7 linked regions of the Cricetulus griseus genome follow. The protein of the gene in region 1 purifies or fractionates together with the protein of each later gene. This does not show direct contact. Links are inferred from orthologs where the notes say so. Each region holds a gene or a part of one and is shown on either strand. Other genes may lie near its edges.

What was found.
Region 2: the proteins of Cbx5 (region 1) and Ahdc1 purify together in Homo sapiens (affinity purification with mass spectrometry; 3 studies listed by BioGRID and IntAct, with this or other methods). This does not show direct contact. The link is inferred for Cricetulus griseus from reciprocal best matches to the Homo sapiens genes CBX5 and AHDC1.
Region 3: the proteins of Cbx5 (region 1) and Mbd1 purify together in Homo sapiens (affinity purification with western blotting; 3 studies listed by BioGRID and IntAct, with this or other methods). This does not show direct contact. The link is inferred for Cricetulus griseus from reciprocal best matches to the Homo sapiens genes CBX5 and MBD1.
Region 4: the proteins of Cbx5 (region 1) and Znf462 purify together in Homo sapiens (affinity purification with mass spectrometry; 3 studies listed by BioGRID and IntAct, counting the BioPlex papers as one, with this or other methods). This does not show direct contact. The link is inferred for Cricetulus griseus from reciprocal best matches to the Homo sapiens genes CBX5 and ZNF462.
Region 5: the proteins of Cbx5 (region 1) and Daxx purify together in Homo sapiens (affinity purification with mass spectrometry; 3 studies listed by BioGRID and IntAct, with this or other methods). This does not show direct contact. The link is inferred for Cricetulus griseus from reciprocal best matches to the Homo sapiens genes CBX5 and DAXX.
Region 6: the proteins of Cbx5 (region 1) and Senp7 purify together in Homo sapiens (affinity purification with mass spectrometry; 3 studies listed by BioGRID and IntAct, with this or other methods). This does not show direct contact. The link is inferred for Cricetulus griseus from reciprocal best matches to the Homo sapiens genes CBX5 and SENP7.
Region 7: the proteins of Cbx5 (region 1) and Chd4 purify together in Homo sapiens (affinity purification with mass spectrometry; 5 studies listed by BioGRID and IntAct, with this or other methods). This does not show direct contact. The link is inferred for Cricetulus griseus from reciprocal best matches to the Homo sapiens genes CBX5 and CHD4.

Annotation. Positions count from the first base shown.
Region 1 is NC_048595.1:399,592,082-399,595,581, forward strand, and holds part of Cbx5 (chromobox protein homolog 5), read right to left. Parts: intron 2,474-3,500; 5' UTR 2,432-2,473; coding exon 2,295-2,431; intron 1-2,294. UniProt on the Homo sapiens protein: Component of heterochromatin that recognizes and binds histone H3 tails methylated at 'Lys-9' (H3K9me), leading to epigenetic repression. In contrast, it is excluded from chromatin when 'Tyr-41' of histone H3 is phosphorylated (H3Y41ph).
Region 2 is NC_048595.1:20,200,461-20,204,684, forward strand, and holds the start of Ahdc1 (AT-hook DNA-binding motif-containing protein 1), read right to left. Parts: upstream 2,801-4,224; 5' UTR 2,751-2,800; coding exon 2,660-2,750; intron 2,506-2,659; coding exon 1-2,505. UniProt on the Homo sapiens protein: Transcription factor required for the proper patterning of the epidermis, which plays a key role in early epithelial morphogenesis. Directly binds promoter and enhancer regions and acts by maintaining local enhancer-promoter chromatin architecture.
Region 3 is NC_048595.1:165,545,061-165,548,560, forward strand, and holds part of Mbd1 (methyl-CpG-binding domain protein 1), read right to left. Parts: intron 1,653-3,500; coding exon 1,538-1,652; intron 1,449-1,537; coding exon 1,279-1,448; intron 1,202-1,278; coding exon 1,119-1,201; intron 878-1,118; coding exon 837-877; intron 464-836; coding exon 317-463; intron 226-316; coding exon 97-225; intron 1-96. UniProt on the Homo sapiens protein: Transcriptional repressor that binds CpG islands in promoters where the DNA is methylated at position 5 of cytosine within CpG dinucleotides. Binding is abolished by the presence of 7-mG that is produced by DNA damage by methylmethanesulfonate (MMS).
Region 4 is NC_048595.1:88,915,039-88,919,145, forward strand, and holds the start of Znf462 (zinc finger protein 462), read right to left. Parts: upstream 2,801-4,107; 5' UTR 2,539-2,800; intron 2,235-2,538; exon of another isoform or gene 1,824-2,234; intron 1-1,823. UniProt on the Homo sapiens protein: Zinc finger nuclear factor involved in transcription by regulating chromatin structure and organization. Involved in the pluripotency and differentiation of embryonic stem cells by regulating SOX2, POU5F1/OCT4, and NANOG.
Region 5 is NW_023276806.1:232,095,284-232,098,271, reverse strand, and holds the end of Daxx (death domain-associated protein 6), read left to right. Parts: coding exon 1-20; intron 21-228; coding exon 229-439; intron 440-555; coding exon 556-964; intron 965-1,099; coding exon 1,100-1,301; intron 1,302-2,428; coding exon 2,429-2,488; downstream 2,489-2,988. UniProt on the Homo sapiens protein: Transcription corepressor known to repress transcriptional potential of several sumoylated transcription factors. Down-regulates basal and activated transcription.
Region 6 is NC_048597.1:36,024,282-36,028,325, forward strand, and holds the start of Senp7 (sentrin-specific protease 7), read right to left. Parts: upstream 2,801-4,044; 5' UTR 2,663-2,800; coding exon 2,623-2,662; intron 1-2,622. UniProt on the Homo sapiens protein: Protease that acts as a positive regulator of the cGAS-STING pathway by catalyzing desumoylation of CGAS. Desumoylation of CGAS promotes DNA-binding activity of CGAS, subsequent oligomerization and activation.
Region 7 is NC_048601.1:21,327,357-21,330,856, forward strand, and holds part of Chd4 (chromodomain-helicase-DNA-binding protein 4), read right to left. Parts: intron 1,728-3,500; coding exon 1,606-1,727; intron 1,413-1,605; coding exon 1,197-1,412; intron 968-1,196; coding exon 849-967; intron 710-848; coding exon 468-709; intron 259-467; coding exon 131-258; intron 1-130. UniProt on the Homo sapiens protein: ATP-dependent chromatin-remodeling factor that binds and distorts nucleosomal DNA. Acts as a component of the histone deacetylase NuRD complex which participates in the remodeling of chromatin.

The sequences.
Region 1 (3,500 bases):
GGACAGGCTCCAAAGCAATACAGAGAAACCCTGTCTGGAAGCAAAAAAAAAAAACAAAAAACAAAAAACAAAGCAGCACTCTGGTATAACAGATGCTAAATAATCTGTTATGCATGAATCAACTTACCTAAAATGCCCAGTACTCCATAAGAATAATGTTAAATCATGAAAGGAAATAACTTTCAATAGATCCTGAAGGGACCTAACTTTAAAGTACTGGCAAAACATTGACTATTTTAGCAAATTTACTTCTACCTGTTGTTTTTTATTGCATTTTGTTTTTGTTTGCTTTTTGTGGTAATGAGGATTAAAACCCAGCCAGGTGGTAGCAAACACCTTCAATCCCCAGCACTAGGGAGGCAAAGGCAGGCAGATCTCTGAGTTCCAGGCCAGTCTGGTCTACAGAGCTAGTTCCAGGACAGCCAAGGACCGTGAAACTCTGACTCGAAAACAAAAACAAACAAACAAAATACCAAACCAAACCAAAAATCCAAGAGAACAAAACCCAATTCCTCATATACACTAGGCAAACACTCCACTACTGAGCTATATATCTTCTGCTAAAGATAAAGTTGTGATGTCAGGCTGTGAAAATGGCTCAGTAGGTAAATACACTTCCTATCCAAGCCTGAAGACCAGAGTTCAGTCCCTGGAACTAAAAAGCTGGATGTGCTGGTCTTCCTACTGCAAGATGCGGGGGCAAAGACAGAACTGGCTGAAAGCTAGCCTCAGATATCCTGCTCACAACCAAAACAAGAGACTTTGACTCACACAAGAAAGTGAAAGTGACCTGCCCCTTAGAAATTAAAAATTTAAACAAACAAAAAAGCACTTATATTGAAATGCTAGTTATAAACTGGGCATAGTAGTACAATGCTTTCAGCACTAACCTGGACCTCACAGAGATCCACTTGACTCAGAGAGCTGGGATTAAAGCCTTGGCTTCTTTTCATAAATCGTTTATTATATATGCACATGTGTATCTATTAAGTGTATATTCCTGTTTGTCTGCATGAGTGTGGGTGTGTATGACTGGAAGTCTGAGACCACCTCAGTTGTAGGTCCCCACCTTCTAAACTTATTCACTGCGAGGTATGCCAGGCTAGTTACCCCTCAGGCTTCCAGGGATTCTCTTGTTTCAGTCTCAATCTCAGTGTGGGACCACAGGGAGAGATGCATGTGCCTAACTCTGCATGGGTTCTAGTATCTAAATTCAAATGCTCACACTTGCCATAACAAGTGGTCTACTCACACTCATTGAGACCTCTAAGTACTATGTATGTCTTATCTCTGTCTTTGTCTGTTTCTTTTCTTTTCTTTTTCTGGCATACCTGAGAATCAAACCAGAACCCTGAGTATGCTAGGTGAAAGCACTTTACCATTAAACTACACCCACCTCTTGTCCCTATTTTATTAAAGGGGAAAAAATGAAAAGATTATAAAATTAAACAATGGACCGAAGAAATAGCTCAGTATTTAAGAGCACTGCCTGCTCTCCCAGAGAACCATGGTTTGGCTCCCAAAACTCACATGGCCACTCACAACCATATGCAACTCCTGTTCCAGCTGATCTGATGCGCTCTCTGCACTGTGGGCACCAGACAACACAAATGCAGTATACAGATATACATGCAGGTAAAAGACTCACACACACACACACACACAAAAAAAAAAAAAAAAAAATTTATGTGTGTTTTCGGAGACAGGGTTTCTCTGTGTAGCCCTGACAGTCCCGGAACACTATCTTTAGACCAGTCTGGCCTCAAACCCATGCCCCCCCCTTTCTGGGAATAAAGGTGTGTATCATCACCCAGCCCAGCAAGAAAATATTTTTTTTTCTTTTCTTTTTCTTTTTGGTTTCAAAACAGCATTTCACTGTATAACACCCCTAGCTGGCCTGGAATTAGCTCTGTAGACCAGGTTGGCCTCAAACTCACAGAGATCTGCCTGTCTCCCAAGTGCTGGGATTAAAGGTGTACGCCACCAACCAGCTAAGAATTTTTTAAATAACAAAAATAAAAGAAATTAGCCAAGTTCATCCACCTATATCTTAAAGGGTGGAACAAGAATCTGGTCCCAGACTATCTGGCTCCCAAATTTGTGTTCCCAACCAATTTCTTAAATTACCCCTCAAATATAAGATTATTAAAACATCAGCTCCACAATGGGAGACTATTGTGGTCTATTGACTCTCTTGATTTTTATGAAAGTGTATAAATGGGAAAAAGACAGTGGCTCTGGGTAAATTTTTCTACCTCTACAGAGTCCTAATGCCTGAAAAAGAAAGCACTTACTCAGAAAAGCCTTTCCACTTCAACAGATACTCCACTTGCCCCTTAACCATGCGTCTGTCTAACACCTTTTCCACCACATACTCCTCCTCATCCTCGGAAGAAGAACTGTCAGCTGTCCTCTTGGTTTTCTTTCCCATGTCGCACGCTGATCCACCTGAAGGACTAAGGCCACCAGGTTCCTGAAAAGGGATAAAGATAAAACGGTTACAATCCGTGAGGGTTATAACTGCCACTTCTTGATGGAACAGAGGGTACAATACTAGTCAGTCTCATACCCTTCTTTTTGGTCTACAATTATTCTAAGACAGGGCTACAGATTTAATTTTAAAATGGGTCAATCCACATTTCCCTAACAACAACTTCTCTTCAGTTGAAGAGATCAAATTAGATGACACATTCCTTTAATTTTAATATTCAAAAAACCAAGTAGCATGACATGCTACTCATGACCATTTCTGCATCTACTTGTGAGCCAGGAACTCAAAGGAAAATGTGGAAAACCTTCAATTAAAGGAACCAAAAAATAAAAATCCTTTTCCTCTGAGGCGAATACATGTTTTTATAAAAATGAAGAAAAAGAAAAAAAGAAACCTTCCCCCACAAAACACCCAAAAGTAACTTTTCCATACTCTGAGCATTTTGGTCAGTCTCTTCTCAGCGTGTACGTGTACATACACACACACACACACACACACACACACACACACACACACACACACACACACGGCAGTTAACCATCTCTCACCACATTTCTAGTGACTTGGTACATTTCCCTTAAACAACTTGAGTCTGTCCCTTTAGCATGTCCATCAGCTCACAAAAACAAGGCTGACAGCTCAAAAACACTAAGCCTCCTTTTTAGCAAGCTCATTTGGGAATAGAAGGGAAAGGGGGCAGAGGGAAAAAAATTCAAAATTAGTCATTGGACTAGTCTGTAATTCCCAGGGCTCGACTAACCCAAACAGTTATGGAGGTACCTTGCCTCTTCACTGAAGTTGACTTTGGGCCAAAGGAAGAGGAGGGGAAAGAAGTCTGGCCCCAGATTCTGAATCAACATGAAGCCTCCTCAGAACACAGAGGACTATTCATCTCCCAGGAAAGCCAGGACAAGGCAGCACAAATGGAAATTAGGCTCAGAAATATGCAGTCAGAGGTGCTCAACAGAGAATCTAGTTTTAAAAATTCCCACACTGCTGAACCATAATC
Region 2 (4,224 bases), about 380 Mb from region 1:
GGCCTGAAGCCCCACTCTCCAGTCCAGTGGAAGCAAAAGCCCGGGCCTCGGTCCCTTGGAACCCACAGTTTCGGCCAGCTTGCCCTCCTGGATGCCCATGGTGAGGGGCCCAGCCACCACCCTTGTCCCCAGCCCACTCAGCACCTGCCTCCCCAAAGCCTGGGCCACTGGGCACCTGCTCTGGGAACAGAGTCCCGTTCTTTCGGGACCGCCTCTTGCGCTTGGGTTTCCCAGTCACAGCATCTATCTCCCCTCGGCCCCTTTTACGTGGGTGCCCCAACTCTGTGAGACCTGGACCCACAACCCCAGTAGCTGCCACTGGTACCACCTTCTTTTTCTTGCCAATGCCCTCAAAGAAGTCACTAAAGGAACAGCGGGCTGCCTTGGCCGCATGACCTCCACCCCTGCCTCCAAAGCCTCCTGTTTTGCCTCCTCGCCTCCGGAAGCCCTGTACACGATGAAGGAATTGGGAGATGCTCTGGGTGTCTGGAGCCTGGTGCACTGACTCAGGCTCACTGGGAGTCCAGCAGCGGGGTGGTGAGCACCTCCCAGCACACTGGCTCTGGCGGTTCAAAAAGGCCAGCTTGGCAAGGACGTCAGAGTACTCAGCCTTACTGTCATTGGCATCTGCTGCATACGATGGCTGAGGAGATGCCAGCTTTTGTTTTCGTCGCCTCCGTTTCTTCACCTCTGGCATGGCCAAGGTGGCCGCCGCGACAGTAGCAGCCTCAGCAGCTACCACTGCTGGCTCTTTCGGCTTGCCGGGACCCAGCAGCAGGTTCTTAGGAGGGCGGCCACGCTTACGCTTGAGGATAATGGGCATCTCACCTGGCGGGAAGACCACCACCACATTCCGGCCATTGTTCTTCATTTTCAGCAATGGGGTGGGCTCTGTCGACACCCGCAAGCCCAGCTCCTTGCCTTCCACACTCAGACTGCTGCTCAAGGATGAAACTTTGTATGTGGTCTTATTCCTGCGCCCCAGGGACACAGGGATCTTGGCCATCTTCACCACCATGCGCCGTACACCCCTGCACTTGCCTTTGCGGGTGGGGACCACTGGGGTCTGAGAGGACTCTGCCTCCAGCTCAGAAACTGGGCCTGGGCCTGACAGAGCAGGAGGTGGTGGAGGTGGTGGCAGTGGCGGGGGCTCAGTCAGGGCAGCTGCTAGCCCTGTAGGCATGGGCAGGGGAAGTAGGCGGCCTTCAGGTCCTGAATCTGCCTTCCGCCCTCTTCCAGCTTTCCGCCGTCGACACAGGATCTTTGGCCTATCAGTTCGCCTCAAGGCGTACTTGGGGTGGCCCTCAGGCCCAGGGGGACCATGAGGTGAGCACAAGTCTAGGCGTAAGGGCTCAGCCAATTGGCAGTGCCCCAGGGACTGCTGGGGCTCTAGACGTCGACCAGGGACATCCAGCAACTTGGGCAGGGGATCGAGGGCCTGGGGGTCAAGGAGCTGGGACTCCAAGGAGTCAGGTAGGGTATCTAGGGCCTGCAGAGTCAGGCTTGGCAGCCCCAGAGGATCAGCAAGAGGCTGCAGGGGTGGTAGCTCCAAACCTTCACCTAAAGGCTCTAGCGCCTGCGAGTCTAGAAAGCGGGGCTGGGGGTCTAGGAGCTGTGGCTCCGGCTGCGGAGATGGTGGCTCAAGGGCCTGAGCCTCCAGGAGCTGGGCCTCAGGACACGTAAGGGAGGCCAGTTCATTGAGGATATCGGCATCTGCTAGCTCGGAATAGTCAGGCCCATCTGGCTCGGGCTCTGGGGGCAGACCAGTGGCTGTAGCTGTGGCTCCAGGTCCATGGCCTTGGCCAGGCTGGGGACTATCCCTGGGCTCAGGCTCAGGTTCATAGAGGGGGTGGCTGGGCCGCTCTGACTTGGCGTGAGGTGTGACGCGCTCCTCAGGGCTTCGGATACTGTTGGCCAGGCTAGGTGAGGAGAAGAAGCTGTACTGCAGGTCACCGGGTGGTGGGGCAGGTGGGCGGCTCAGTCTCAGCCCACCACAGTCCAGATGCACACCACTGTGCTGCAGGTCCTGGGACAGCCTTGTCAGGTCCTTCATGATGTCAATCAGCTGCACCACTGGACGCAGGTTCACACGGCCGTTGTCCCAGTGGTGGAGGGAGTTGCTGTCTGGGGCCGGTGTGGGACAGTGGGCCTGGGAGACAGGCCGGGCTGCCCGAGGGGGTAGCAGGTCGTCTCCTTTGGCAAGGACTGGTGGACGCCGGGTACTAGGGTCCCGGCGTGGGGGTGGGCGTGGGTTCTCAGAGAAGGTGTGGGTAGAAAAGGCCTTGTCAGGTGGGCTGGCAGGAGGTCGGGTAGGAAGCAAGGGCCGGGGGGTTGGGGGACCACCGGGGTAGTACTTGGGCTCTCGGAGGTAGTCAGGAGAGCTGCACACTGCACTGGAAGTCACCACAAGGCCCTGGGGCTTCACACGCATCCTGACCTTGTCCTCCGAGGGCCACCGGGCGGGGCCAGGGCTGACATGAGGGTGCGAGAAGCCAGGACCAGAACCTGCCAGAAAAGGAGAGGTGGGAGGTTCTTCACTGAGCATCTTTGGTTTCCCACATCCTAATGAGCCCTTTCTCTATGCTTCCATTGTTCCTCTGTGTTCCAGCCCCTGGCCCAAGCCCAAATCACTTGCAGGTCTTCAATCGGGTATACATACACTTCGATAGTCTATAGGGTCCAAGAGGATAGATAGCATCACTGTCTTGGAGAGAGAGGCCCAACAGCAGGACAAGATGGCCATACCACATGAAACTGACTCATTAGCATCTTTCCTTCTCATCCCCATTCCCCAAGGTGCACTCACCCTCGGCTCTGCCGCCTGGGCTGTCACACTGGTTATCTCTGTGGGCAACAAGACATGTAACAGATCTGAATTCTCCACATGATTTAGGGTCCACACTCAACCCCAGCTACCCGCACACAGCCCCACCCCTTTCCAGCCCCCTCAGTGCTCCTTCATGCCTGACCTGGTAAACAGAGGGCCCCCGTGCTTGGGGACTCTGCCAGTCGCTGGTTGTCAGCTGGGGGTGTTGTGGGGCCACTTCGGCCTGAGCCCAGGCCTTGGGGTGTGGACAGCGCCTGGAAAGGACCACCGCAGCTCAGGTTTAGTGAGCACCTACTGCACGCCAGGCACTGGGCTGGAAGCTGTCCAGGCATTGCTTCATTTAATTCTTCATACCAATCCTGCGAGGTAGGGGCTATTAATAACCCCATTTTGCAGATGAAGAAGTGGTGGCTCAGACATGAAGTAATATCCATCCATCCATTCATATGTTCATTATTTATGGAATATCTACTTTGCACAAGGCCTGGGTAGTCAGACATTGAACAGATAATCATAAGTGACTTAATAATTAGTGGACTAAGAGCTACAAAGAAAAGTGAAGAGAGTACCTAGCATCAAGGGTCTAGCCACCTCCAGGAAGCTGACAACAAAAGCCTGTACTTTGGGGACACTTTCTCTATTACCAACACTAGGCTAAGCACTTTAATGGATTACCTCATCTAACCTCCATACCATACAGAAATCAATTATTATCCTGCCCATTTTTAAAGAAACCATTCAGTAAAGGTTTGTCTCCTGATGCACGAAACTCCCCAAGTCTGACACAGCTCATGTTTATTACATTAAAAACAAACAAAACACCCTTATTTTTACTTTACATGTTTGAGTGTTTTGCCTGCACAGATGCACACACACACACACACACACACACACACACACACACACACACACACACACACGTTTATGCCCTGGTACCCAGGTGAGAAGAGGACATCAGATTGCCCAGACTGGAGTTATAGATGGCTATGAGCCACCATGTGGGTGCTGAAAACTGAACCAGGATCCTCTTAACTGCTAAGCCATCTCTTCAGCTATTATTTTGTTACATTGTGTGTGTGTGTGTGTGTGTGTGTGTGTGTGTGTGTGTGTGTGTGTGTGTGTGTGTGTATGTGTATGTGCTTATGTATGTATGGAGGTCAAAGGACAACTTGCAGAAGTCAGTTCTCTCCTTGTGGGTCCCGTGGACTAAACTCACGTTGTCAGGTCAAATGGCAAGTGCTTTTAGCCACTGAGCCATCTCACCAGCCCTGTTTTTCAGGACAGGGCAATGGACAGAGGGTAACAGACATGCACCACCATGCTGGCTCTCATGAAGTTTTTTCTTATTCTTTTCTAGACCCAACAGAGGTGCTGAGGGAGTAAGTGACAAGAACGTA
Region 3 (3,500 bases), about 230 Mb from region 1:
GCGGAAGCAACAGCAGCCATGGTGGTAAATTTAATAGCAGAATGAGCACTGGCCCAGCCTTTGCTCCACCAGCACTGGTCTCTCAGCCTGACTCACCCAAAAGCAGCGCCGCTGCATACACCTCCACTGGCGCTTGACACCAGGGCGGGAAGGGCGAAGGCAGACTCGGCAGCGGCCACAGTCTTCTTGGGTCTGACAGCCCCGACACACTCCACACCCTCGACTCTGTGGGGGCCGGAGTTGTGATGTATGGGGTCAGGGCCTTGAAGGCCAGGGACTGAGGAGAGCCTTGGCACACCTCATCTGACTGACTCACCTTCTCCACAATCCGCAGGCAGCGTCTCTGCTCACACTTGCAGAAGAGTCCTGAGGCTACATCATGGGGCAGCTGCAGGCGGCAGATAGAGCAAGTCCCACAGTCTTCTTTTACCAGGCAAGCTGTACACTCTCCACAGCCAACTCTCTGTCAGAAATGTATGGGGTAAGATTAGAAGCCTAGACAGGGGACTCAAGGACCACTATCCTTCCAAATGTTAGCCATGCTTATTAGTCTCCCGTTAACCTCTTTACTCTAGCTAATAAACTACTGATTAGCTTACCAACACCAAGGCCACTACTGTTCCTTCTACTAGTGCTCTGTTAAATTCATCCCTGTGTCTACTAGTACCCCATTAATTACCATTATTGCATCTACAAACTAACCAACAGCAGGTCTCAATTTAAAAAACAACAACAAAAACAAAAAAACAAAAAAGACCTGTCATGACTCCTAAACCCTCCATCAGTCCTATGACATCCTGTTCTCTTATAGACTATGGGAAATATACTGTTCTTACCCTAAACATTCTCTGTTCTCGGTTGAAGGCAATTCTCTGTGCTGGTGGAAGAAGGAAGAATGGTGAGAAATGGAAAAGAAGCAACAGACACAGACATATGGCTTCAGCTACTATCTTAACCCTGACTCTCACTGTTCTACATATGCCAATAGAGTAGGGTCACAGGCTGATTCCATATATGCCCAAAGCCGCTATCCTATCCTGACATGTACTGTATAACCTCCAGCTTAGCCTGGCACTGGATCTAATATGTGGTTTGTCTCCTAATTCCTAGGGACTTACCTCGGCAGTCTTTGCACAATGTCTTAAGCCTCTGCCTTTTGACACCATCCCATGAGAAGTGGTTTCCACAATTCTCACAGCACCTAAAATTAAAAGAGCAGAGCTATGTACTCCCAATCCCAAGCCTCACCCACCTGGCTAACCTTAAGCCAACACTCACCCAGGTGCAGATAATGAAGCTGGAGCTGTGCCAGTGCCAGCCTTATTCTCATCCTGTGGAGTCTCCTTCTTGACCTCACTCTTCTGAGGCCCAACCTGACGTTTCTTGACCTTGGATGGTTTAGAAGGCTTCTTTTTCTGCTTGCTAGGGACAGTCACGGGATGATGGGTCTAGAGATGAAGACAGGAAGAGTGTGGGTTAGTACATGGGTATCACGTGACACAGGTGCCCTGGCACGGACACTGACATTGTGAAGTACCTTGGGAGCTGGATAGCACAAGATGCCTTGTCTGAAGTCAAAGAGGGTAAGATCACATGCGGGGCCTAGGTATCGAGTCAGCTCAACTTTGCTTCGAATCTTGTCTCCTGTGGGGCTGAAAATGAACCACAATGAGTTGGCACCAAGAGGGAGCTAATGTCATGCCACCCACACAACATCCCCACAGATTTGGTGAGATGCAAGAAGCAGTCTGGATTCAGCCTGTGAGCCCCACCCAAGTCCTACCTCAATACAAGTAACAGGAATACAAAATATGAATATAAATACCATCATGCACACAAATGTTAATAAATAATAGAGCTGTGAACCTCATTTTGATCCATGCCATCACATATTCTATAGTAAATCCATAAAATTATAATACAGGGGAAAATTCTATTATCTGGCAATACTATACACACAACATTATACAGGCATCTGTAGTGATGTTAGTGTAAACAAACCTAGTGTAATACCACAGTACATACTTGATTAATAATAACTACAATTACTGGTTTATGAACTTAGTGTGATTTTTATCATTTTAGAGTCCTACATATGAAAAAAATTAATGTACTGTGAAACTGCAATGTTAGACTAGTAGTACCCTGATATAATTAAATGATTATTGCTTCTCTTGACTTCCTAATTCTCTCTAGTGTTTGATTTAATCTCGGGATTTTTATTCAGCAAAGGAGCATATTCCATAGCATATACAGTTATGTGGTATCCAACAATGCTCTCATCAATAATCAACTATATATACATGACAGTCCCTAAGATTATACTTTCTAATGACACCACACGTCCTAGCTTTATAATCTATGATTTTAACATGAAAAAATCATTTATAACATGTTCTCAGAATGTATCAGTACCAATAAGCAATGTATGACTATATGAATATTTAGCTTAGGTGTATAGTGTAGTGTACTATATCACTGAGTTTGTGTATTCCTCAGATTGTATTACTATTGGTAACTGTGCATAGACACATAAGCAGGCAGGGCACTGTACACATGCCTTTAATCCCAGCACTTGGGAGGCAAAGGCAGGTGGGCGGATCTCTGAGTTTAAGGCCAGCCTGGTCTATACAATCAGTTCCAGTATACCCAGGGCTCAGTAGAGAGAGACCCTGCTCCAAAATAAATAATAATGAAGACACATAAACATACTTACAACATGTAACACCATTAGTGTTGAAAATATGAGTAAAAATCAACACAAAATAGTAAGTAAGTAAGATATAAATATGTATTTTGGTTTGTTTTGCTTTGAGATGGGGATATCATTTTAACCCAAAGGGCTTTGAAACTCATATGTAAAGAAAGATGAACTTCTGATCCTCCTGCTTCTACCACCCCAGTGCCAGTTTTTCAGAAGTGTATATAGTACTAGAAATCAAACTCAAGGCTCCAAGAACACTAGACAAGTACCCAGTACTCAAATGTTATGTATTACATACCAAATGCATGATCATAAAAGCTTATAACAGAACTATTTTTTAAAACATGAAAATGAAATTATATTCAATACAAAGTATAAGTAGCTAATGTTGAGGGATGACATTCTAGGTCTTTTCACTTCTGCAAGAATCATCAGAGGCATTCATTATCTCCTGAAACAAACTACCTTCTCATTGTTTGTAAAAACAGGTAACTTTTGAAAAGGTCCCCTCCCTTCCAGGGGAAAGGACAGCAATGCTTATCATACTGATACTTGATTTTCTAAACTCAAATACACAGGCTGCCTTTCCTATATACAGTGCAGCATATATGCTACTTAGCCCTCTTCATGTCATCCTATGGGGATTGGGATTCTAAGAAATGCCAAAAACAGGTATTTTAGGCTCTGATACTACTGTGAGAAATTTTTTTTATATCTGGCCCAGGAAGTATCACATTTCCTATCAGCATCCACAAAACTAACAAACCCATTTACTAGTCTGATAAATATGTATCTT
Region 4 (4,107 bases), about 310 Mb from region 1:
TGTGTGTGTGAGTGTGTGTGTGTGTGTGTGTGTGTGTGTGTGTGTGCTGAGGTAGGACTGGCTCCTATTTTCAAACCATCCCCACAAAATGTCTTCCTACAAGATTAATAAAATCTTCCAATTAAAAAGGTTAAGATACCTGGACATAAGGTTTTCTCAACTGACATCATTTGTTTCCATAGTGACATTGTTAAGAAGACATGGTGATATTTCTGAAGACTTACAGTACTGGAGAACACGGGGGAAAATAGCAGAAGGAAAGGGAAGGGGGGAACAAAGGAGCTAGGAAGGCCTCACACACAAATGGAGCAGCCTGAAGAGACATGTAGAACCCGAAGAAGCTGCCAGTCTGAGAGAGTTCCTCTGAGATCTGGAAGGAACATATTCTATTCTTTCTGGCAGAAATCACCCTAAACCAGACAATAAAGTCTTTGCAATGCATCAGAATGATAACCAAGCCCCAGAACTCAAAAGAGAAAAGCAAAGACAGGAAGAAAAATCTCAGCCTAGGGCCACCAACCTCCCTCACACTGAGGGAGTAACATTTCCTGGAGACATTCAGGGACCTGGAGCAGCTGAAAGTTGTGTGAAGATCTCAGTGGAAATGTTTTAGATTTTGCCTAGTCTTTCCTTAAGGAGGTCAAAAACCCTTAAGGTCCACTCCAAAGGAGAAAAAAATTCCAAAAGTTTACTTTAAAATGGAAACAAACATCTCAGTAACTTGTGAAAGCGCTCGTTGGGTAGGAGAAAAATCTGAGGAACCCTTAAAAGCCCTCATTCCCTTGCTTAATGAATAGATAGCGAGGAACCACCAAAAGGTCTCCCTCTGGAGAGGGAGAAGGAGTAGGCAGGCATGCCTCTTCCTCCAGCCATCACCAAGAGAGCTTCAAAATGGAGACATCCATAATTTTATAAACACTTCTCATCCCAGCTTTGTCTCCTGGAAGCCCGCTCTCCTCCATTTTCTGGTGGAGTTACAGCATGACAAGGCTTACCTGACTCAGTTCCCAGCTCTCAACCCAACTAGTCAATTCCCTCCCCAAACCTGCAAGCAACCTCCAGAAACAAAACCAAACCAAGCCAAACAGCCAACACAGACACTCAGACACAACCCCCGGGAGCCCTGGAGAAAGCCCCAACTGGTTGGTCTTTTCCCATCCCAGGCGCGTGCTTAAAAATGAAACTTTTTTCTTTTCTTTTCTCTCTTCTTCTTTTTTTTTTAAGGTTGGGGAGGAATATAAAAGAAACTCCAGGCAACCTCTTCCCCTCCCTCTCTGTAGGTTAGGAGCCACAATGAAAAGAAAACCAGGGTTCCTTCAGGAATGGTGAACAGCCTGGAGAATGAACGTGAGAAGGAGCTTTGTGTTTTGGAGTCTGGACTGGAACCAAAGCAGACAGCTTGCAAATGGAGGACAGGGAGATAAAGAAAGGGAAAGAGAGGGGCTGCTCCAATGGGGGGCGGCTGCGGCTTCCCCCCCGTGCCTGGAGGGAGGGCAGACCCCTGGGAACCGCACCAGGAGTGAGACGCCCCCCCTCCAGGCCCCTGCCTTCCTTTCTCCCAGCCTCAGAGGAGCCAAGCGTGTGTAATGGCTTCTCCTCTCCAGAAACCGTTGTCCTCCTCCAACCAGACGCTTCTGAACCTTCAGCCTGGAGACAGCTCCTCAGCTGTCCCTCAACCTGCGCCCCCACCCGGCCCGCGGCCCCCCGCTCGTCGCCTCTCTCCTCCCCAGTAGCGGCGGCTGCAGCCACCCCCTCGACACATCCCGACCCCGCATCCCAACTTCGGAGAGGAGAGAGGAGAGAGAGAGAGGAGAGCCAAATACCTGAGGAAGAGGGGGGTGCCAATCCGCACGGCTTTGCCATCGGGCGGGGGACAGGCAGACAGAGGAGGGGAAAGGAAGCAGAGGGACAGAGAAAGAAAGAGGTCAACCCGCTCAGGTCGGGGCCGCTCGCTCCGAGCGCTCCCTCCTCTGACCCCTCGCTTGCTCCCTCTGGCTCGGGCTCAGGTCTCTCCTGGCCTCCAGCCCTCCGCCCCCCTTCTCTGTCCCTACTCCTGTCCCCACACTCGGAGCATCCGTCCTAAGCCTCCAGCTCTCTCCTCTCACTCATCTCATTTCTCTCTCTTCTCTTCACAGAACTACACGAAATTAATTAAGCCACAGGGCTCCCCCCCCCCAGCAGAAGGCAGAAGGAGCAGCCAGCAGGAAAAGCACAGCCACCTCCACAGCTACCACCACCACCTTCTCCTCTTCCTCCTCCTCTTCCTCCCTAGCTTCTTCTCCTCCTCTTCCTCCTCCCCCTGCTGCTCTCCCTCCTCCCCCTCCTCCTCCTTCTCCTCCTCCTCCTCGGTCTCTCCTCTCTTTAGCTTCTTCTCCTCTCTCCTCATAGCCAGCCCATGCAGGGGACTTCCTCTCCTCCCCGCGCCGCCAGCCCTCCTTGGCCGAATGAATGAGCGCGTTTGTGCCTCCACCGCCCCGCGCTCTCCTCCCCGGAGCACTCAGACCACCCCGGAGGTGGTGGTTAATTGCAGTAACTTACAGAAGAAGCGTCCCGGCGCCGGGAGGTGCTTCGGGTTCTCCAGCCCCACCGCCTCCTTATCCTCTTTCTCTTTCTCCTCTTCCTGCTCGGGTTATTGTTGTGGAAGTTGTTTGGGAGTCTCATGTGCTTCTGCCGGGTCTCAGCAATGGAGGATCGCCATCTTCCCTGCCTTCCACGGCTCCTCAGACTCGCTGCAGCTGCAGATGACCTGAGATATCCGTCTCTCTCCCCTCTCCCTCCCTCCCTCTCCTCTCACTCTCTCTCTCTCTCCCCTCTCTCTCTCTCTCTCTCTCTCTCTCTGCTCTTCTCTCTCCTCTCCTCCCTCTCCCTCGCGCGCGCTCTCTCTCTCCCTCCCTCTGTGTCTCTCTCTGAATAATGAGCAACCAGAGGGAGAGAGAAAGCAAGACAGAAAGAGAGAAGACAATCTTCTCCTGCCACACAAAACGCCAGAGCACCAGGGGGTGCGCGAAGCCTTTCTAATAACAACAACGTGCAGGAGAGAGGAAGGGAAAGAAAGAAAGAAATGAGAAAAGGGCTGGGGGGGAAATACGAAGAATTATCCAAGAGCTGGAGAAGCGCAGGAGAAGCTGGAGGAGATGCTGAAGCTGCGGCTGCTGCCCGCCCCCCTCCCGCGCTGAACCCCAGAAGGAGGCAAGGTGGTTGCAAAGTTAAGGCTGGGACATTGTCTTTGTCACTCTGAACAACACAGAGCCAGGCCAGTGAGATGCAAGAGGAGGAGGTGGCGGTGGAGGAGGAGGAGGAGGTGGTGGTGGTGGTGGTGGTGGAGGAGGAGGAGGAAGAGGAGGAGAAGGAGGCAAAGGAGGAGGAGAAGGGGAAGAGAGAGATGAGATGAATAAAGACCTGCGGAAAAGGCGGCGCGAGGAGCGCGACCGCCGGGCTCCGGGCGTGCGCGCTCGCCTCCCGGAGGCGCCCGACCTCCCTGGCCAGAGGAGCAAGCCCCCAGTGAGAACCCTGCTCTGCTCGCACCATCAGCCCTGCCCCAGGCGCCCAGCCCCGGCTCTAAAGGGTCCCTCAAATGAATCCATCTAGAGGCCAATCTTTGCAAAGAACAGAGATGAAGAACTGAAGGTTGCAAGTCTAAACCCAGATCAACCACGTGGGGCTTTTTAATTCCTTTCCAGCTTGCAGTGTATCTCCAGTGAAGGGCTCAAGTTGTCCATTACTGGCATGTATTTTTAAGTCGTCGCCCTCTAAATAAAGGCTCATTGTGCGGTTTATGTCTCTTCTGATACGAAAAGGAGAAGAAGGAGCCCATCATTTTTATCTAGAAGCCACCACTTTCTTTTCCGAACTTGTGAAATGTTTTGACGGCGCACCAAGGTGTGTGTGTGGGGGGGTGTAGTACTTAAATAACTTTCCACCCTCGCGCCCCGCGTTGTTTGCACTTTCCGACTGATCATCTAAAGGCTTGGAAAGTAACAATCGTCGCTCCTAATGATAAGGTGTCATGATGTTGAAGACAAGAGAGCCAAGCTGAAGCATCACACCTTGAATTTTTATTTTGTGTAATTTCCCCCCAAATCACTCTGAACTATCTCTTTTTCAAAG
Region 5 (2,988 bases), on another chromosome or scaffold:
TCTCCTTGGATTCGGGTGAGGTAAGGACGGGTCAGCGCCTGTCAGAGAGATCTTGTCCTCCCCCTGCGCTGGCCCCCAGGGACTCGAGGGGGACCAATGGAGCAGTGTGTGGAAACAGTGAAAGCACCAAGTCCTTGGGGGTGGGGCCGTTTGTGGTCTTCTCACCTAGTGTTCCTGAGGTCCCCGGTTTGAGTCCTAGTCCTTACAAGAGACGCTTTTGTCCCCCAGGGTCCTAGTGGACTGGCATCCCAGGAGTGCCCTACTACCTCCAGGGCTGACACTGACGACGATGAGGAAAGTGAGGAGGAGGAGGAGGAGGAGGAGGAGGAGGAGGAGGAGGAGGAGGAGGAAGAGGTCACTGAAGATGAAGATGAGGACCTAGAACGACTGCAGCAAGATGAGGGGGGTGCCGGAGAGGAGGAGGGAGGAGGAGGAGCAGGTACACGTGTGAGCAGAGCACCCCTGCGGCCCTGCTGGCCTTCCCTCCCCCCCCTGCTCCTTTGCACAGCCCCCTCCTCCCGTTGCTTTTGCTACCCTCCCTTCTCTCTTTTGCAGACAGTGAAGGAGATAAGAGCCCCAGTAGAAGCAACTCACAAGGGGAGCAGCAAAACAAAGGACTGTCAGAGACAGCAGCGTCTCCAGACCCTCACAGCGTAGATGCTGAGAGCAGCGGGGAACAGCCCGAAGAGCCATTCCTAGAAGAAGAGAGTCCTTTGTCCCACAGTTTTCAGCTAGAGATTGAAGACAAGGATACCACCCCATGCCTTGAGGAGAAGGACATTTCCTCTTCTAGGAAACAGTCAGAAGATTCCCTCCCCACTGTCTTGGAAAACGGGGCAGATGTGGTCACCTCTACATCCTTCAATGGGCGTGTCTCTTCCCACACTTGGCAAGATTCTGGTCCCCCATGCAAGAGATCTCGGAAGGAAAAGAAGCTGCTGGATTCTGAACCATTAGAAAACAGGTAAGAGCAGGCGGATGGCAAGGAGCTGGGGCTTTCGGGTAGCAGACCTGAGGTCAGGGTCTTCTGGGAGATACTGGGCACTCTGCAGCCGCAGTTTCGGGTCCCCTTCCCGTCCATCTGTTCTCTTTGCCTTAGCAATGTAGAGAAGCAAAAGGCTCAGCAGGGAAATGGGAAGAATGTGTGGACCCCGCCTACTGGATCTTCCCCAGTGGCCGATTCCTCCACAAGGGTGGACTCTCCCAGCCATGGCCTGGTGACCAGCTCCCTCTGCAGCCCTTTTCCATCTCTGACGTCCCCAACCCCCCAGCCTCAGTCTCCCCAGCCTTGTAGTTATAAGGTAAGTTGGGCTGCTGTGTTTCCCTAACAATTCATTTCTTTATTTTTTTCCGAGACAGGGTTTCTTGGTATAGCTTTGGGTGGCTTTGGAGGCTGTCCTGGAACTTGCTTTGTGGACCAGGCTAGTCTTGAACTCACAGAGATCTCTGCCTCCCAAGTGTTGGGATTAAAGACATGTGCCACCACTGCCTGGCAACAATTCATTTCTTACTGTCCCCTCTCCATGGGGTATTGCACCTCACACATCTCTATTTATCCATCCTAGGTTTGTGTTGTGTGTGCGTGCGTGTGTGTGGTGTATGTGTGTTTAGGTTTATTTTGCACAACGTAGTAGTTTATGCCTTTAAGTCCACCACTCAGGAGGCAGAGACTGGCAGTTTTCTTTTTCTTTTCTTTTTTTTTTTTTTTTTTTTTTTTGATGGCTCCCTTTTTTTTAAAAAAAAAAAGATTTATTTGTGATGTAGTGTTCTGCCCGCATATATGCCTGCAGGCCAGAAGAGGGCACCAGATCTCATAACGGATGGTTGTGAGCCACCATATGGTTGCTGGGAATTGAACTCAGGACCTCTGGAGAGTGGGCAGTGCTCTTAAGCTCTGAGCCATCCCTCCAGCCCGAGACAGGCAGATTTCTATAAGTTCAAGGCCAACTGTCTTGTCTACACAATGAGTTCCAAGGTTACATAGTGTGAGACCCCTGCCTTAAAAAAAGAAAAGGTTTACTTATATGTGAAAAGGTGTTTCGTCTATGCATGTCTGTGTACCACATTTGTGCCTGGTGTTCAGTGGAGTCCAGAAGGGGCGCCTGGTCCTCAAGAACGGGGGTTACAGAAGGCAGCCAGCGAGCTGCGCGCCGTGTGAGTCTGGGTACCGAACCCAGGTCCTCTGCAAAGCAGCCAGTGCTCCTAGTGGCTGGCTCTTCTTCCAGACCTCCATCCTAGTTTGGTTTGTTCTTGAGATAGGGTCTTTCCATGTAGCCCTGGCTGTCCTGGCACTCTGTGGAGACCAGGCTGGCCCCAGACTCAGAGATCCGCCTGCCTCTGCCTCCTGAGTGCTGCTGCCGCCGCCGCCACCGCCGCCGGCTGGACCTGACTCCTCCCCTCTGCCTGTCCCCTTGTGACTTCTCTGCAGATGAGTGTGGCCACGCAGTGTGATCCCGAGGAGATCATTGTGCTCTCAGACTCTGATTAGCGGCCTCCTGCTCGCCCTGCCTCCACAATGTTTTGGATGGCCGCGGGCAGAAGACTGAGCAGAGGATGGACTGCGCTCCTCCCCTTTTGGTGGCGTGTCTTTTGACAACCAGATGTTTTAAGTTTTGCAAACACATTAATAAACAATGAATTTCTTTTCTTATTGTATTCTTGTGTTTACCTTGTGTCTCTGCTGTGACAGCCGCCGCCTGGTTCGGGGCTGGCCTGGGCACCTCGGGGGCGCCGTCCTCACCGCGATCCCGAGCCTCCCCCGGGCCCAGGCGAGAGCGGGCTTCCCGGGCCTCCCGGAGCCGCTTGGCTCAGCCTTGCAGCGGTTGAGTGAAAGGCCCGTGGGGGCCGGCTCCGTCCGGCTGGCTCGGCCAATCCCCAGGGAGGCGGGGCCTCGGGGTGCTGTCATTCGCCGGGGAGAGGGCGGTTAGATCCCGCGAGCCGGGGGTGGAGCCCGAGCGGCGGAAGCCGGTACCGGCCGTCAGCGGAGAG
Region 6 (4,044 bases), on another chromosome or scaffold:
TGGGATAGGGCCTAGGCCTTCCCCTCCCTCCTCCATGTGTCTAATCTGAGGAAGTATCCCTCTATGTGAAATGGGCTCCCAAAGTCCATTCTTATGGTGATTATTTTTTAATGTTCACATTACACAACTAGAGGCACACTGGAAAAACAATGGCTAGAAAATAGTAGATCTCTGAATGGGTCTGATTACACACTGCTCCGTAGAAAGAAAATTTCCAGAGAAGGCATAAGAAATAATTCTCCAGTGACATAAATAGCAACGTCTTTTATGAATTTGAGGTCTTAATCTCAAACTTCACTCAAAAGGGCTTTCCTAGAGCTATAGCTAACATAAATACCAGTGTTTTCAGATTAGCAACTTCATTCTCAAATTCTCTTTCCAAAAGTACATCCATCAAATAAACAATAATAAATGAATAGCCAGGTAAAGGATAGATTTTGCCAATGGAAAAAAAGGGCTAAAGACTTGCTGTATAACACACTAACACATAAAATGTGATAAGTCAAGATGAATCATATTTATTGAGAAGAAACTGTATCGAATTGAGATTATGATTATGCCTAAAGTTCTGCATTAAAAAAAAAAAAAAAAAAAAAAAAAACCCGGGCTGGAGAGATGGCTCAGTGGTTAAGAGCACTGCTTGTTCTTCCAAAGGTCCTGAGTTCAATTCCCAGCAACCACATGGTGGCTCGAGATCTGGTGACCTCCTCTGGCCTGCAGGCAACATGCAGGTAGAACACTGTACACATAATAAATAAATAAATCTTAAAAAAAAAAAGAAAGAAAAGAAAAAAGAAAAACAGAAACAAAACTTTAAAAAAACAAAAAACAAAAAAACTCCCAAATAGAACTAAACATTGCATTTTTCTTTTTCTTTTTCTTTTTGAAACATTATAGTCTTGGCTGTCCTGGAACTCCTCTATAGACCAGGCTGGCCTCAAGCTCACAGAGACAGATCCACCTGCCTCTGCCTCTGGAGGAGTGCTGGGCTTAAAGGTCAGCAGTGCCACTGACCAAATGACATTAGACACTGCATTTTTCTAGTAGTCAATTTCATTTGAACACAAGGATCAGAAATCTCAAAACAAAAACTGGTCAGTGAAGACATGCATACAAAAACACCTTTGTTTTTCGAGCATAATTATACTTTCAAAGGCAAAGAACAATTAGTATATTTAAAATACACAGGGAAAAAAAAATAGGCATGGTGACTTACACCTACAATCCCAGCACGGGGGAAGACTGAGGTAGGAGACTCCTGAGCTCCAAAGCTGCATGATGACAACCATCCCTCCCACCCCCGCCCCGAAAAAGAGACAAAAATATTGATAAGATCCAGCGAGTATGAAGGGATCTGTGGATTTCGACTCTGTTAAGCCAAGTGCTATCTGTGCTCACCTCCTTACATTCTGCAGTAAACATTTTAGACACATTGCCACTGGGCATACATAAATAGATTTAGAACTGTTAACACTATCTCTACAAAAATGAACAATACAATAATATTTTCTTAAATGGGCTGGACTAAAGTCGGGCAGTGGTGGCTCATGTCTTTTAATCCTAGCACTCTGGGAGGGAGAGACATATGGATCTCGGTGTCCAAGCCAGTCTACTCTACCGAGTGAGTTGCAGGACAGCCAGGGCTGCACAGGGAAAAGCTGTATGGAAAAAAAAAGGGGGGGTCGGATAGGCGCTGAGCTAGCCTGTAACACCAGCATTCGGGAAAGGGAGTTACTGAGAATTTGACACCATCCTGAGTTACACAGGGAGACCCTTTGTCAACAACAACAAATAATAATACTAATGAATTCACCGATGTTGTTTTATGTACTAGACTGCATTTCTGTGCACACGGGACTTGACTCAAGGACTTAAGAGGCGCACTTAACAGATAACGTGTACAACAATAGCGTGACTGGGCGGAGCTCCGTGTCAATTCTATACAAAACTTAAGAGGTTCTTGAGTTTCAAGCTTTGAAGCAACTACAAACAAAAATGAGCTGAGATTTAAAACAACAACAACAAAAGCCCGGCTTCGAATCCTTGGCCTTTCGAATCACTTTTGGAAGATGCAGGAGGCTGGAAAAGAAAAATGCTATTAACCGAGCCTGCTGGGACGACGAGGGACACCAGGCTTATTTACTTGAGGGACAGAGGGGCGAACGGCAGCCTCTCCTATCTGCCGGGGGGGGGGGGAGGGAGAGAGAAGCGGCGGGGCGGGCGGGGGCGGGGTCGGCCAGGCAAGGGTTCAGAGGGACGCAGGAAGAAAGTGAGATCGAGTGCGCCGTGGGCGGAAGCGAACGTGAACGCGGGTGAAATTACGAGGAAGGCGTGGCAGGTCAGCCGCTAGCCAACGGGGAAGACCCGTGGGCCGAAGACAATCGAGCCGAGTGTCGCGGGAGGAGGGAGCGAGCCAGAGGGGTGCAGAAGGGGCAGGCTGCAGCAGAGGCGGCCCCGACAGCTGCGGTCGCGCCCGCGCGGCTCCGGGGCTCTCCATTATGCGCCCCCCGCCGCTCCCTCCCCCCCTCCCTCCTTCCTTCCCTCCCCACCGCGCCGACCGGCGGCCGCCAGCCGCGCAGACAGCACGGTCCGCTCGGCCCTCGCGCAAGCCCTCCTCCTCACCGGTCGAAGATCGCCGACGCCCGGGCCTGGCCCTGTCCATCTCCTCCTCCGCCGGCCCTTCCAGTCGCGCTTCCAGGCGCTGTCACCTCAGGACCCCTCAGGCTGGGGAAGGGAGGGGGGAGGGGAGAGAGAAAGGCAGGAACGAGACTCGCGCTTGCGCACTAGCGGCCGCCTCCCTCCGACCGGAAGTCCCTTGCCCCTCCCACCTCTGCGAGAGGTAGCGCTTCCCGGGAGGGCCTTGTTGGGGGGGCGGGGGAGGGGGGCGGCTGCCACCTCTAAGGCCTTGGCAGGGGGCAGTTTCACCACCAGGGTCGCTAAGGGAAAGGGAGGCTTGGCTTACGGTTTTAACCTGCTGACCTTAAAGCTGCGGTTGACAAAAATTAAATCTACCGAGTCCCTCCAGTTACTCGGTGGTCTCTCTTGAGCTGTTTGTGCTCAAGAAGCCGACTCAAAGTTAGAACAAAACAGCAAAATGTAGTTTTTCTTATAATTGTTCAATGTAAGAAATATTCAAATATGAAGTCTTTTCTATCAAAAACTATAAAACTTGTGTTTAGGACTCAGGAAGTTTAGGCCTCAGGAAGTCCATATATCCAGAAATAACAGTCTTGGCCCAGCAGTTAGATAAAAGTCGGCATTCCTCTGAATCGTTTCCCTTGCCTGACAGATGGGGCTTAGGACTCTCTATTGACACATACATACATACCTACTTACATACTTTCTTGTGGTTGAATATCAAGTCCACGCTAGCCTACAGCACAGTCCCTATTCACAAGTACCCAAACCCAGAGCCTCCTGGCCTCTCCCCCTACTCCTCCTGCCCTATGCTAAGCCCCCAGGCTGTCCGACAGCCCCATTCTTTAAAACGCCACGGTTTCCCCGCTGTGCCTGCTATCTGTTGCTATCTCACTATCTCTCCCACTGTTCTCTCCTTCACAGAAAGCCCTGGCCATGTCCAGTCCGCTGCTTTTTCTCTCAGCTCTGGGCTCTTCCAGATGCCTATGGATATTTTCTTTCTTACCCACAATTTTAAAAAATTATCATGAAGCAGCCATGCCAGTGGTTTCTTCACTGTTCCCTCTACAAAGGCAAGGAATTCAAATCTTTTTCCTCCCCCACCTTGTAAGACTTTTAGACAAATGCTCTTCCCACCCAGCTGAAGCCAGAACTTTGATGTATTTCAGGGAACTGATGGCAGGAGGCAATGACTCCCTTCTGCCTTCTTCGTTTCCTGTGCACCAAGTCTCTTCAGAAGAGCTACTAGAATTAAGAGTGTGAGGTCAGACCCCAACCAATGAGAGAAGACACAGGTCACCACCTGAGTTAGAATAAAAATAAAAATCTCAGCATGCTTGCTCTTCTGAGCACATCCTCTTGATGAAAACGCAAGTTTGCCTTGCCCAGTCACTTCAGTTAAAATGA
Region 7 (3,500 bases), on another chromosome or scaffold:
TGGTGAAGAATCCCAGCAAGAATTGCAGAGAAGGAGCGTAGTCACACCTGCCTAAGGCAGTAAAATACCCCATTCTCATGTACCCAACAGAAGCTCCCTCCTTCCCCACTGGGATGAACCAGGCTCTCACCGAGGATCTCTTCCGCTTGGAGCCAAAGCCTCCCAGCTTGATTTTCAGAGGAGCTACTTTCTTGGGTTTGGGCTTCTTGGCATCAGGCACGCGAGGGCTGCCTTTGGGCTTCCTTCGAGCATTGGGACCTAAAGCCAGTGCACAGCCAAATGTATATTACAAGGCAAGTGATGGGAGAACAAAGTCTTCACCTAAGTTTTGCTCTACTCTGCCTTATCTTCTAAATCTGAGGTTCACTCCTGCATCCTGCTGCCTACCTTAGGGGTGATACAGCATTCCTAGGCTGTCTTTTGACTTCCCAAGCCCACCCTGAACTCCTCATTAAGTTCCATCTCACCTTTGCCCTCCTTGGTCTTGGCCTTGCGGATAGGCACCTCCACAGGGGGAGGGGGAGGTGCAACTTCAGTAGCAGTCACCATGCTCTCCACCACAGCCACAGCTGCTGCCGCCGCAGCCGCCACTGAAGCCCCAGAGCTGCCCTTGAAGGGGTTGTTGGTACTGAATTCCCTCCACTTTGCACCCAAGACCATCATCATCTTAGAGACAGCAATCTTGGGGTTTTTAGCAGCAATTAGGGGTCTGATAGAGAGATGGCAAGAATAAGAGGGACAAGAATAAGAAAGATGGCCGTGTATAAAAATAAAAGATAAAAGGAAACAAGATGAAATTGTAGAAGGAATCTCCTCCCTTCCCAGTCCCTAAGATCCTCCTGACTTACCGGACGAACTGGCTGAAGGCCTTGTAATTGGTGAGAGTACGGTAGTCTTCCTCTGAGAACACATGGTCAATGTCTTCCATGCCCCAGTCTTCCAAAAGCTGGGCAGATGATTTCGGTTCCTGCAGAGGGAACACAATCCAGGACCTGTCTCCTACTGCTCACACTTGCTAAGAGAACGTGAGTTGAAACTATGGCTTGCAAGAGCAAGGTAAAAGAGAGCTAAGAGGAAACAATCAAAACTACATGGAGAGATTGTGCTCTGAAGGGCAGGAACGTATCGGAACAAGGCTCAGGGGCTAACAGGAAAGAGGAGAGGGCAGCGGTCTTGACAGGACAGAGGCCTCGCACCTTTGAATCATCGTCATCGTCCTCCTCTTCTTCCTCCTCCTTCCGCTTGGACTTGCTCTTCTTCTCCTTCTTAGGTCCAAGCTTCTTCTTCTTCTTCTTGCCAGGAGTGTAGTCGCTGCCCTCACTGTCCGAGCGCAGAGCCACCTCTTCCTCCTCCTCCACAAACTCTGGCCCCTCCCCAGAGCTGTCCCCCAGCTGCCGGCATAAGAGTAAACGCTGGAGCAGGGAAGGGGGAAGAGGGGACAGACACACATGCTACACACATGCTCACCTCAGGACAGTCCTGAGGCTCATCCCAGGACCTGACCCACAGCTCCAGAAGGAAAAACTCCCCTCAGGCCTACAACCCTTCTTGGAGCACCTCCTTCTCCTTCCTCTCACTCCCCAGAACACTCAGTCACCCACTCACCTCCTTTTTTTGGCGCTTGCTCTTAGGGATTTTAGGGTCTCGAGGTTTCTTAGGCTTTTTCTTCTTTTTGAGCTTTGGAGTCTCTGCTTCTGATAAATCCTCTTCTGGGTCTTCTTCATTTTCTACACACATTTGGCCAAGTGTGACAGACAGGGGAAGGGGGGGGAGAAGGCAAAAGGTAAGGATCTAGTGTAGAGGGTTAGTCTATCTCCCAACCTCTGGTCCCAGATCCCCTAAAGAGAATTGCTACACTACACAGAAGGGAGCTGATACCCAGAGCACAAACAGACAAAGAGAGCGAGGTCCCTGAAACAGGCCTGCCAGGCTAGCGCAGGCCCACCTCGGGCAGCTGTCCAGGTCCCTACCTCTCCTCAGCACTCTAGTCACCTCCAGCTGTGGTAAATGGAGCTGCCTGGATTGCAGCAAATAGGAGAACTGGATCTGGTCCTCCCACAAGTGGCCACCAAACAGCCCATGAGACTGAAAGGTGAGGAAAGCCTAACTAGAAGAATGCACTAAACACAAACTCAGCACACCACCAGATCAAACACCAGGTTCAGGGTCTAAGAAATCACACCCTTATCAAACCCCTTCACGATTATCACTGCTCAGAACCACCAGAATCTCCCCAGTCCCAGATTCAGTTTCCAGTTCAACTTCATACCCATTCCCAGTTTCCTTTCTCCATCTCTAGTCCTACTGTTTCTTTCCAGCTTTCTCCTGGGTCAGGCGACTCTTCTCCCTAGGGGCCCCGGAATCAGCCCAGCTGTCACCATCTCCCCTTCCCAACCCCCCTCCCATCTGGCTCCACCTCCTTCCCTGGCTAGAAGCACACACAAAGCCTGGGTAACACTGGGGCTCCTGGGCAAGGATAGGTAGAAAGGGCACAGAGGGAGAAGGCTAGGAGGCAGCTTTCTTTGTACCAGACGTACACTGGCTCCCAGTTCCCTCCTCCCTCTCCTCCATCTCTTCCCAAGCCACCCCCGCCCAAGAAGGGGGGAGTAGGAAAGGGAGGAGAGAGAAGGGAGTGCCTCACCCACTGAAGAGAAGGAAAATGGCTCCTGACCGCGGAAGCAGCCCAGGGCACCCAGTGCCAACATAAGACAGACAGGAAGTGGCAGGGAGGGGGTGGAGCTGACACAAGTACACAGAGCAAAGAGTACCCTCAAAGACGACTTCTCACGTTATTACCTGGCCCTAGGTTCAAAGCCAATGATCTCTCATACCTACTCAAGGATGACACAGTATGTAAGAGGTCACCCTAATGCTCCAGGCAAGCAAGCCAAGACAGCATGAAGAGCAATACTATTTGAAGGACTGCATTACTCACTCAATCATAATTTTCCTAAAACATTACAACTAAGACTTAAGGGCTCAATGGAGGTTATCAAACTATAGCCTTCTTTCCTTGAAGGTATCCAAAAGCTTTAGCTTGAGGAATGGAGCCCACAACCAGTCTCAAAGCTCAGCTCCCTTATCATCCAACAAGAATCTTACCCAACATATGGAATTCATGTCTGGACCCCAAAAAAGTAGTAGGACCAAGAGAACAGTGGTAAACATGAGCTCATGAGCCCCCAAAGTAGCCCTGAAATGATTCCAGTTCTGCCCTTGCAAAGTTAGACAGGCCCTAAGGCTGTACAAGCACCATAGGCCTCCCATTTTCACTCATTCCAGTATCAAGTCAGGTTAGAAGACCCCTCTCATTCCCAAACGATCATTTTCTTAAAGGCTTCTCCCCCACAGCCCTTACAGTACCCCTCAATCAGTTGCACCCTTCTTCATCTTTGCCTACAGAGCAGAAGAGACAAGGACAAGCACATGGAGGCAAAGCAATGCCTGCCTCTCCGTCCGCATGCACCCCTCAAACTCCTCAGGCAATCACACGCTGAAAT